2 linked regions of the Nothobranchius furzeri genome follow. The protein of the gene in region 1 interacts with the protein of each later gene in a pairwise test. Links are inferred from orthologs where the notes say so. Each region holds a gene or a part of one and is shown in the gene's direction. Other genes may lie near its edges.

Region 1 (4,760 bases):
CAAACAGTCGTGATCCTTCCCGGTTGAGCGACTTCCCTCTGAATGTGTTTGGATTCTTGAGCAGTGCTGGGTTCCTTACATCCCCAGCAGCAGACCCAGTCCTGTCCAGTGGTGCTCTGAAACCGCCCGGCGACAGAACCCTCGTCAGATATTCCTCCTTATTTTAGCTCCATCATTTCATTTAAGAAGAAATACAGATGAACTGGAAATGAAATCTATCATCTGCAAAGACTTCTCCTCCATTCCTGCAGATAACTAGGTTTAGTGTGCATGAATCCTGAGCGTTACTCTTTGATCCATTTGCCAAACTTTGATCTGATTAGTTATCCAGAATGAAAGAAACCGAAGGATAAAAGTGGAGACGGACGAAGCTCTGAGGCAGCTGAAGGACGAAGTGTCTGCCTGTAAGTCCACGCTGAAGACTGACGTCAGGTTTTTACAACAACTTTGCTTCTGCATGGAAGCCTCTGGTCTCTCGCCACTGACACGTCTGATGTGTGGTCTGCAGCTGCCTCCGGTTTGGGCTTTGACCACCTCCTGTCTCCAGTGTTCAGCCCAGTGGACCCAGAGAGCTCGGTGGAAGACTGCCTCGCTGCAGTTGGAGACAAAGTGGCCATCGAGCTTGGCACACACCTGGCCACAGCTGCCCAAGCACTCCTCAGCGGGTGAGCTCATGTTTGAGGGAGTGTTTCACATTAAACATTTTATAACCATTTATACCTGAAAAAGCTCAAGTTTTTGTCCTCTGCTAAGATTTTCTCACTGCACCAACAGAAAATACAAAGTTCACAATCTCACGGGAACGACCGAGTCCGTGCTGGTTAACGGCTGCTTTGGGAATTCATGAGACGTTCTACCGGAAGAGAATAAATGGAATTCAGTGTGAAAGTCGGGCCAAGTGTTTAGATTTGGTCTAGTTTACAAACATACAGCTCCACTCCCGTGTTGATGCTTGTTCTTTCTGTTGGAACAACCCAGACTTGCATTAAGAAGTTAGGATGTGTGCATCTCTGGAGATGATTAAACCCAATATGAGTAGTTTCTATTCTAACTTAGCGTTGTTTGGAGTGAGTGTTGATTTCTGCTAACGTTTATGTGTTTTAGACCTCTGGACTACCCACGTTTCAGAAGCACGACCCTGGATCTGTCATTGCACACACAAGGAGGCTGGAACAAGGTGAGTCAGTCGCATCTTCTAAGCTGCTGTGCTTAAAACCGTTATTCCAGATAGAAACCTGCTTCATGGCTCACCACCTGCAGGTTCTGGTGCCTCTGGTGTTGCTCCAGGCTCTGCACAGGGAGGGTCAATCTCTGGAAACACTGTTGGAAGTGGGGCTGCACTTCCTGGAGGAGGAGGAAGCTGATTGCATCATCCAGCAAGGAGGATGGGTGAGTTTTGCAACTCAAGCGATTTGACATGAGTGAGGAATAACCATCATGGAAGGAGAAGCTCCTGGGTCTGGGTGGATTCAGACTCCACTACCAAGAGTCTGGGACGATGAAAGAAGGATCCAGATTATTACACTGATGGAAAAGCGAGAATGTAGATTTCCAAATGACCAGATGAGGGCGTCAGTGACTGATTTGATCATTTATATCGAGTTAAACCCGTTGATTACAACGATCACGGCCTGAATTTAAATCTTTGTTTTTAAATTAGAATAATGCAGTTTACCGAGCTTGTAAGAGACTTCTGGAGGTGAACAGTCAGATGTCAGGGAGAGTATTCAGAGTTGTGACGGGGTGATTTTTTAACGTTTCATGTCAGGATCAGAACACCGCTTCAGCTCGGCAGGCTGTAAGAAGTGGAACTCTTCCTGTAATGAGGTCATCCTGAGGAGGAGCCGCGGGACGTGACACGCCAACCGTTTTGTTTGTCGCCGTTAACCTCACGATGTTCTGCCTGGTTCCACGCATCGAACACAGAACACTGGCTTCAAACAAAGCCACGCTTTTGCTCAGTTATGTCATAGGAGATGAGGAGGGATGGGGGGGCATGATGAGAGTTGCGATAGGCAGGATGGGAAGCCAAGCAGGGGAGGGGTGAGAGATCAGCAGCCAGTGAGAGCACGGTTAGATGTTTATCACTGTGACATCTGCCTGCATGGACTCTCTCCACCTCCACCTCATCGCCACCACTCGCTCGCCTTTTGGACTTCTGAGGGATTTTCGCATCCGAGTGTAAACCGGAGCTTTGGCGACTTCGCACCAAGGTAGGAGGTTTTTCTTTGGAGCCACTCAAACGATGACCCCATTAGTCGTGATGGGACAAATTGTCAGAAGCTGAACTGGTGTTTGCTTACTGGCAGCATGGCTGCCACTTCCTACGGAGTCAGAGGCAGCCATCTCAGTCGTCTGAGGAAAGTTATTACCATGCTATAAAGGCTAAAACTGTGCATTTTGAATCGTAATTTTGGCACAAATCAGATGTTTCGTGGTTTAAATGTTTATTCTGTTAATCTTACAGATTCTAGCGTGACAGAGGCACATGACACACGTAACGTTACGGTTGAGTGGCTCTGATAATTCCTTTGTTGGTTTCGGCAGAAGATTGTGACCCTAATGTGGTGTTCGGTCCATTTGGCACGAACAAAGGTGCCTGGCCTCAGGCGGGTAGGAGGTGTGATGAGGTCTTCCTGACACATCAGACGTCGTCCTTCTGACGGGCTGAAAACTGCTGCTGCGCTCTGATGAGTGCTGACGGCTGCTTCTCACCTCCGAGCAAGGAGAGAGAAATCACCAAACCCCGGCTGCAGTTTTCAGTTTATATTTACACGAGTTTCTCCTCTGAGAAGTCCTGGTGCTGCAGGGACGAAGCTGGTGTGAGGGCTCCAGTCCAGGCAGAGGACGTCCCTCTGCTGACTTACGTAAGCAGTAGGAGACCAGGCCCAAGAGTCCACGACTGCACGCATCTAATAAAAAATACAAATCCGAGCATCCATGTTTCTGCATCTGTTCGTTAGTCTAACTGTTCACTCGATGCTCGGTTAAATGTACCGATGCAGATTTAAAGCTGCAGATAAAAAGGCCACATTTGCATCAGTAAAGTTAACAAGATTTTAGATTGATGTCTATTTTAGGTGATTTCTGATCCACTAGAATGTCTCAGCAGGAAAGATGGAGGAGGACTGATGCTGCGTCTGCGGTGATGAGGGTGTTGTAGCGGTCTGTTGTGGTGAAGAGCTGAGCCGGAGAGCGAGGCTCGATTTACCGGTCCGTCTACGTTCCTACCCTCTCCTACAGTCACGAGCTTTGGTAGTGACCGAAAGGACGAGATTACACACGCAAGCAGCCGAAATGAGTTTTCTTTGCAGGTTGTCTGGGCTCTAGGTAGGGTGAGAGACTCGGTCATCCAGGAGGGGCTCATAGCAAAACTGCTGCTCCTCCACATCGAGGGGAGCCAGTTGAGGTGGCTTGGGCATCTAATTCCATTTTTGGTTCTTTTTTAAACACAGGAAAGGTTTCTCTTCCTTGCTGTGTTTAGGAAGCGACGCCACCACCAGCGTCCGCTCTGAGGAGGTTTGCAGATGCAAACGAGAGTTTTTAACTCAAAACAAAAATGGAATCGTATTTAAGTTACTTCATGCAGATTTTCTGGAGATTTCTTTGTTTCTTTAGACTAATAAGATAAAATGTCTAAAAAATGAGTTGTTTTTTAAACTTTCTGTAGTGTAGCTCTAGATTTTTACAGTGAACAGACGGCTAACGGTCTTGTAGCAAAACGCACACACAGAAGTTTTCTGGTGGAGACCTGACCGCCCTGTTCTGCAGATCGAGGCTGCGTCCGAAGGGGAGAGGATTTTCTCCCTCGTGCAAATCAGCTTATGAAGAACTCAACCCTAACCCTAACCCTAGGATGACGATGGGATGCTGTTAGATTTAATCTTGTCCATTCCACCCGCGCCACAGCTGGTGTGCTGAGGGAAATGACCTTAAATGTTATTCGATATAAACGCAAGACCAATGTCCATAGTCTGCTCACAGGCGCTCTAATGGAGACTTCTGTGGAGGTTTATCAGATGTTTATGCTAACTCCTCAGTTTTACTGCTGAATCCCATTGGTTCATGTGACACGCAGCACAGCTGCGACCTCTTCTAGGTCACCTCGAGCATCAACACCTGCTAACGCCTCGTCACAAATCCTATCTACTCAGGTTACTTCTTTTTTTGTGCAATCTGCTAAATTCGTCTACTCTGTCAGTAGTTTGGTTCAACTGTCTGTAGCTCGTCTTACGGGGAGCGCTGCTCACGTTCTGATATCACATTCATGCTCGTTTCTGTGCCACAGGGTGGAATATTGGTCTTGGTGCCAGAGGAGCAGTGTGGTTCGACTGTAGCTGAAGACAGCAACGACATTTGCATCATCCCGGAGGAGCAGCATCCGGACCGGCCCAGTCCGCTGCTCTGCACAGCCGACAGCAGCGAGCAGAGCTCCTGGCAGACGGAAAGCCTTCCCGTGTCTCTGGCTGGTCACGAGTCCTGGGCACAGGTCGGTGCAATGGACCCCGAGGATGTCAAGAGTCTGGACAGCAACGAGGGCGTGGCGCTGGCCGAGGAGCGCAGTGAGAACAACTCCTCCAACTCGGACATCGTCCACGTGGAACGCGAGGAAGCCGAGCTGCTGGAGGAGGGCGGTGAGGTTGGAGTCACAGAAGAAAGTATGATTAGCGTTTTAGGAACAGAGAGCGAGCTAGCTGAGCTGAGGGCGGAGTTTCAAGACCAGACTTCAGGTGTTCCAGTGCCGACTGGGCCAGACTGTA
Region 2 (5,354 bases), on another chromosome or scaffold:
TCCTGTAGACCGCCGCTCAGCCTTAGCTAATATCATCAGACATCCGCGAGCGTTTGAGGACACACCTAGACAGATGCAGAGTGTGATCTTCCTCGTAGACAACTTAGTCTTCACATATTAAGATCTGCATAAACAGCATAACGTGAGAATTGTAAAACGAGGAGTTTTAGCTCTGCTGGCCGACTAGAGGTGAGTCTTCACTGCTGAGGCGTTTATACCATCGACATATAAATATTGGACAATGGGTTTCCAAAGGCTCCAATAACACGTTTTTGAGGCCAAATGGGAGGTGGCCACCACCGCCATTTTGACCGTGTCACAGGTTCCGTCAAGCCCAGACAATTCCACAAAAGGGAAGAGAGGTGGAGCTGAGGGTGGGGCTCTAAGGCTGGGATCAACTGACGACACCCGGTCGAACTAGCTACAAGCTAACCGGAAGCTAACCCAAAGCTAATGCGGCGGTGGGAGCTAAGCTAACGGAGGTAGCAACCTAGCTACAACCAGAGTTAACTGTGCACAACCCCAGGGCTTCTGAGTCAGAGATACGCCGGGCTGACCGCTGGGTAAAACTGGGTGGAACACAGAGGTCTCCGAGAGCTCCACAAGCCGGCAGCCCACGCAGCAGACAGAAGCCGCGATCAGACAGAGATGCGCCGAGCTGCAGGGAGGGGAGAACGGGTGGAAAACATCGGTCTCCCGAGAGCTCCACAAGCCTATAGTAGGAATCCAGCTCCACCAACATGTTATATTTCAACCCATTTTCTAAAGTGCAGCATTATGTTAAATGCACTGGCTTTTACCCTATTACATTTAAATTTCATGGTTAAACAGTACATGTTAAAATCTAAGCTCAGCTCGGCAGTGACCTAAAATACATAAATATAATTTAACTTACCGAAAAAAATGAAGTGGAGACTCCTTGGACGCTCTATTAGTGCAATTAATGTCACAGCAAGTCATTTTGTCCAACAATTGCACAAAAAATATCCAAAAAATAATACACACACACAGAGACTCAAAATCTTGGAACAGTTTCTAGGCCAGAACGAGGCTCTACTGAGGCCTTTCCTCTGTGGTCACGTGGGTCTGATGCTTATTAATTATACAGAATTTTAGGCTTTTAATACACTTAAACAGAAGAGTGAGAAAAAAGTCACCCCCCTAAGAGTTGTCATGAGTGTAAACTAGATCATTTAAACAAAAAACATGTTTTGGTAGCAGGCTGTAAACATGTGTATTTCTGCTCTGAAATTGGTATTTTTAACATGGGAGTCAATGAGCATTTGCTCGTTTCTGACACCAGTCCCCAGTGGATGAGGGTGGAACTGCAATTTTTGGTACTTCCGGGTTGGGACCAATTTTTGAGCCGCATTGTGGGGGCTTGGTTTTTACAGAAACAGTGTAAGGTGGAGACATGTTAAACTCTCAGATGATGTCATCAGATTAAAACTGGACTTCTGCTTTAAATATGTCGTCAAAAAATAAACACTTGTAATCGCCTCTTGTGCACGAGAGTGGTGAGCTCTGATGGTGGGTTTCTAGGGCTGATGCTCCATCTGGAGGAGAAAGAGTTTGAGGTGATTTGGTAACTACTAACAACCTAGGAGCTCAGATAGAAGAGGGAATCAGAAGGTTCTGCCAAAGTGCCCCTGAGCAGGACACCAAACGCAGATAGCCCCGGTTTGCTAATTGTAGTATGACTCTGGATGGTGCCCAACCTCCAGGTCAAGGGGTCATGATGGATGAGAATAATCCTTCGTATCAGTTTTACATTCATCTGGATGCAGGTTTTATCTAAATGACAGTAATTTATATTTCATCATGACTGACAGAAGTAAAAACTTTGTTTTTTAATCTAATTCTGACAACTTCAGCTAGACAGTTTGACTCACTAGAGCCTGATGTGGAGCTCAGCGATGAGAATCTGTCCGTTACGGACAACAGGGCCGTAACGTTCATCACCGTCTCTCAGGATGTTCTTTATCTGTGTTTTAATCAGGTTTAAGAGCTAAACTTCCCCGCATGTATCATTCATCAGGCACAAATATGGGATCCTGAAACCACAGCTGGGATGTCCTGCCTCCTCTCCCTCCTCCTCTTCCTCCTCCCCATCCTTATCTTTGCTCCTCTCCTTCTCTCAGAGCGTGTCCAGCCTCAGAGGTCGCTGCATATCTAACATTTCTGCCTCAAGCTCCGACCAGAGCCGCTTTAATCTGCAAGGTAAGCCTCCATCTCCTACATCTTTGTTCCAACCAGCTCCAAACGTGGTTAGCTGAGTAGATCAAAAGGAACCAGAGACATCATCCATCCTGCTCCGGTGGTGAGAGGAGGAGATGCTGAGGAGGAGTGCATGAATCACTGCCTCTAATAAAGTCATTGTTCAGATGGAGTAAACATTTGTGAAGAGGGGAATGGAAACTAAACCTCCCAGAGGGATAAACACTCGCCTGGCGTTCCCATCCAGAGCACATGATCTTCTTTTGGAGAAATCAGCTGATTCTGATCACCGCTGCCATCCTGATGCATGGCTCCAGCGGTTAGATTAGATTACTGACTAATCCTAATTCAGTAGAAGGATGTTCACTGGTGACAAAGGTTTCATGCGAAGCTAAATTGGAGGATTCGTTTCACGGTGAACGCCAGATTTTATCCTGTGATCAAATAACAGAAAGGAGAATTCATGGCAATGAGTTTTTATAGTAAATGTCATAAAGTAATAATCATCAGAAGATGACTTTTAGAGAAGAAGATAGAAGAATCGGACAAACTGAAGGCGTCCTAAAACCGTTTTTAATAAATGTTCAAACTTTTCCAGATTAAGCAGTTATAGTTATAGTCAGATGTTTTATTTACTGAGCTACAGCACCTGTTTTCTGATGTGTGTGTGTGTGTGTGTGTGTGTGTGTGTGTGTGTGTGTGTGTGTGTGTGTGTGTGTGTGTGTGTGTGTGTGTGGCACTGGTCACAATGCCCAAGCACCGGGTCAGCAGCAGCTACGTGTGTTTAACCTACATTTCCTCCCACAGCTGTCCGTCACAAGGCGTGTGTGACTGAAGTCTGACAACAGAGTGAATGTATAAATAGCTCAGTGTGTGTGTGTGTGTGTGTGTGTGTGTGTGTGGCCTGGTATACGACAGCTGCTGCTGCTGACACATACTGATAGAAGTCACACGTTTGGAACGACGGGCATCTGAAAGTCTCCAGGTTAATTCAGAGTTTGGGTTGGTTGTTTCAGTGGAAGTCTGCAGGGAGGAGTTCACGTGGACCAAACAACCCCCCCCCCCCCACACACACACACACATAAGTTATTAATGCTGATTACTAAATTAGACCGACCCCCAAACCCAGTCTCCTGATGTTTAACTAAAGACTCCACTTCTCATCTTCCCAGTGGTGAAAAAGGTATTTACAGCCCCACCCTCTCACTGTAAACCGTGGCGTAGACTAAAAGGTCTCAAAAGCAACACATAACTCGTTTCATAGACCCAGAGCATCAGCTAAAGCCCTGCAGGGTCAGAGGTCATCATTCACAGAAAGAAAGAGAGACAGTGACAAAAATGGCCCAGTGGGAGGGTTCCAAGGGCAAAAGCATGGCGATGGTAGTGTGATGGTGTGGTGCCGCTCCAGGATCTGGACCACCTGCTGTACCCTATGACCGTAGCTTTAACAGCTGCTGGTTAATAACACATGAACCAATCAGGGCCTGCCTCCGATGGAAAGCTGTGCATGTTTGATCCAGATAAATGTGAGAATAACCAACAAGAGAGCAGAGAGGAAAGGTGAAGACAAGGAGAAGGGTAGAACATGTCAGACGGATGAGATTAGCTCCTAAATGCTGCAAAGTAAACAAAAGGTTAAAGGAGAGGCTAGCGGGCCTCAACTAGATGGAAGTTCAACATTTATACCTAAAATATCTTTTATTGTAAATGTCTGAGACTTCTGCCGGCGTCTACCCTAATGGCTTTGTCCAAATTCAGAGGTAGTGTCCTTGTGAGGACTCGTCCTACCCGGTCCACGTAGGACGAGTCCTTCCTCAACTGCCAAGACCAGAAATGAGCGGCTGTGAATTTGGACGATCTAGCCATCATACTCCTGCCTCAGCATGGGTCCTGTTGCCTAGCAACTATTAAACTAATTAGAAGTTAAAGCTAAACCCAGAGTGCTAACACCAGATATAACCATGTAATTACTTATAAACGTAGCATGAAAGACTCATCGAGAATCTTCTGGTGCTGATCCGTAGCTGGAAGCAGCCATGACCCTCGCGGGACGGGTGAGAGAGAATGAATTATGTTTAGAAAAAGAAGCTGCAGTACCCACATTTGACCACAGTGTGTCATGCTTGCTTCATCCTTACATATTGCACCTTTAGAGAAGAATCTGTGCACAACCGGCAGACATACTAACACTGAAACCGTAACCCCGACCCGCTTCATGTGCCATTGTTACAGAACTAAAACCTGTCGTTCAACCCGTGATGAACCCTGGGATGACCGTTGCCACGAGGAAACGCCAGACCTGTCCTTGAGCTCCGGAGAAAACGAGGACACGTTTGAGAAACCTTTGAATCTGGACGGGCTTGTTGCTTCGCTGTGGCGTAATCGGCCTTTAGGTGAGACATGGAAGGCTGCAGCTGCTAAACCATCCCTAGGGCCAGCTCGGTTAGGAGAGATGCTCCCACAGACTCATCTGAGCTCTTAAGGTGGACTGATTGGCTTCGGTCACACATGCCAGGCAGAGGCAGATTAGAGCCGGAAGGACAAAAGAAAGTGAAATAATAAAAATAGACGATCACATGAGCAGCTGTGACCTCTGCTGAGCTCCAGACGTCCAAGACGCTGCTGTGTGAATATCAGAAGGCGTTTCTTTAGCGCCATCTTCTGGACACACTCCAAAAGGACTTTAATTCTCCACACACCAATGGAAAGACGATCTCACAGGTTTTATCTGGAAGCTCATTAACAAGCATTCACACTGATAACTAAAAGGGACACCGCGTCCGCCACCACAGCAGCACCTGGACGGCTGCTTCTGACCTTCTAAATGTAGATCCCACAACAATGGTTGTGATCTTGACATATGTCCAGCTTAGCACATCACCGGGCCTCAACTGGCGCCTCTGAGCAGCTCATCGTCATGTGCCGCGAAGCCAAAAGGTCACATGCCTCCACCTGGAGGCAGGAGACCGAGCAGTGTGTGTTTAACGTTCTAATGTGTTCTCTTTTATCTGAAACTAGAGACGGTGACAGAACCAACTTCTTCCTGCTCAGCTCCAGACCCAACCCACCAGGATATAACCCTCGCTGCCCCGATGGAGCGCGTTCAGCACATGACCAAGTCGGCCATCCGCCGAGCG

What was found.
Region 2: the proteins of bcl2l13 (region 1) and pln1 interact in binary tests that used the Homo sapiens proteins (3 or more experiments, as listed by UniProt). The two-hybrid records come from large-scale screens. The link is inferred for Nothobranchius furzeri from reciprocal best matches to the Homo sapiens genes BCL2L13 and PLN.

Annotation. Positions count from the first base shown.
Region 1 is NC_091744.1:88,161,119-88,165,878, forward strand, and holds part of bcl2l13 (bcl-2-like protein 13), read left to right. Parts: intron 1-323; coding exon 324-404; intron 405-508; coding exon 509-665; intron 666-1,104; coding exon 1,105-1,177; intron 1,178-1,260; coding exon 1,261-1,389; intron 1,390-4,288; coding exon 4,289-4,760. UniProt on the Homo sapiens protein: May promote the activation of caspase-3 and apoptosis.
Region 2 is NC_091754.1:47,669,815-47,675,168, forward strand, and holds the start of pln1 (phospholamban), read left to right. Parts: upstream 1-2,106; 5' UTR 2,107-2,220; intron 2,221-4,449; 5' UTR 4,450-4,610; intron 4,611-5,235; 5' UTR 5,236-5,309; coding exon 5,310-5,354. UniProt on the Homo sapiens protein: Reversibly inhibits the activity of ATP2A2/SERCA2 in cardiac sarcoplasmic reticulum by decreasing the apparent affinity of the ATPase for Ca(2+).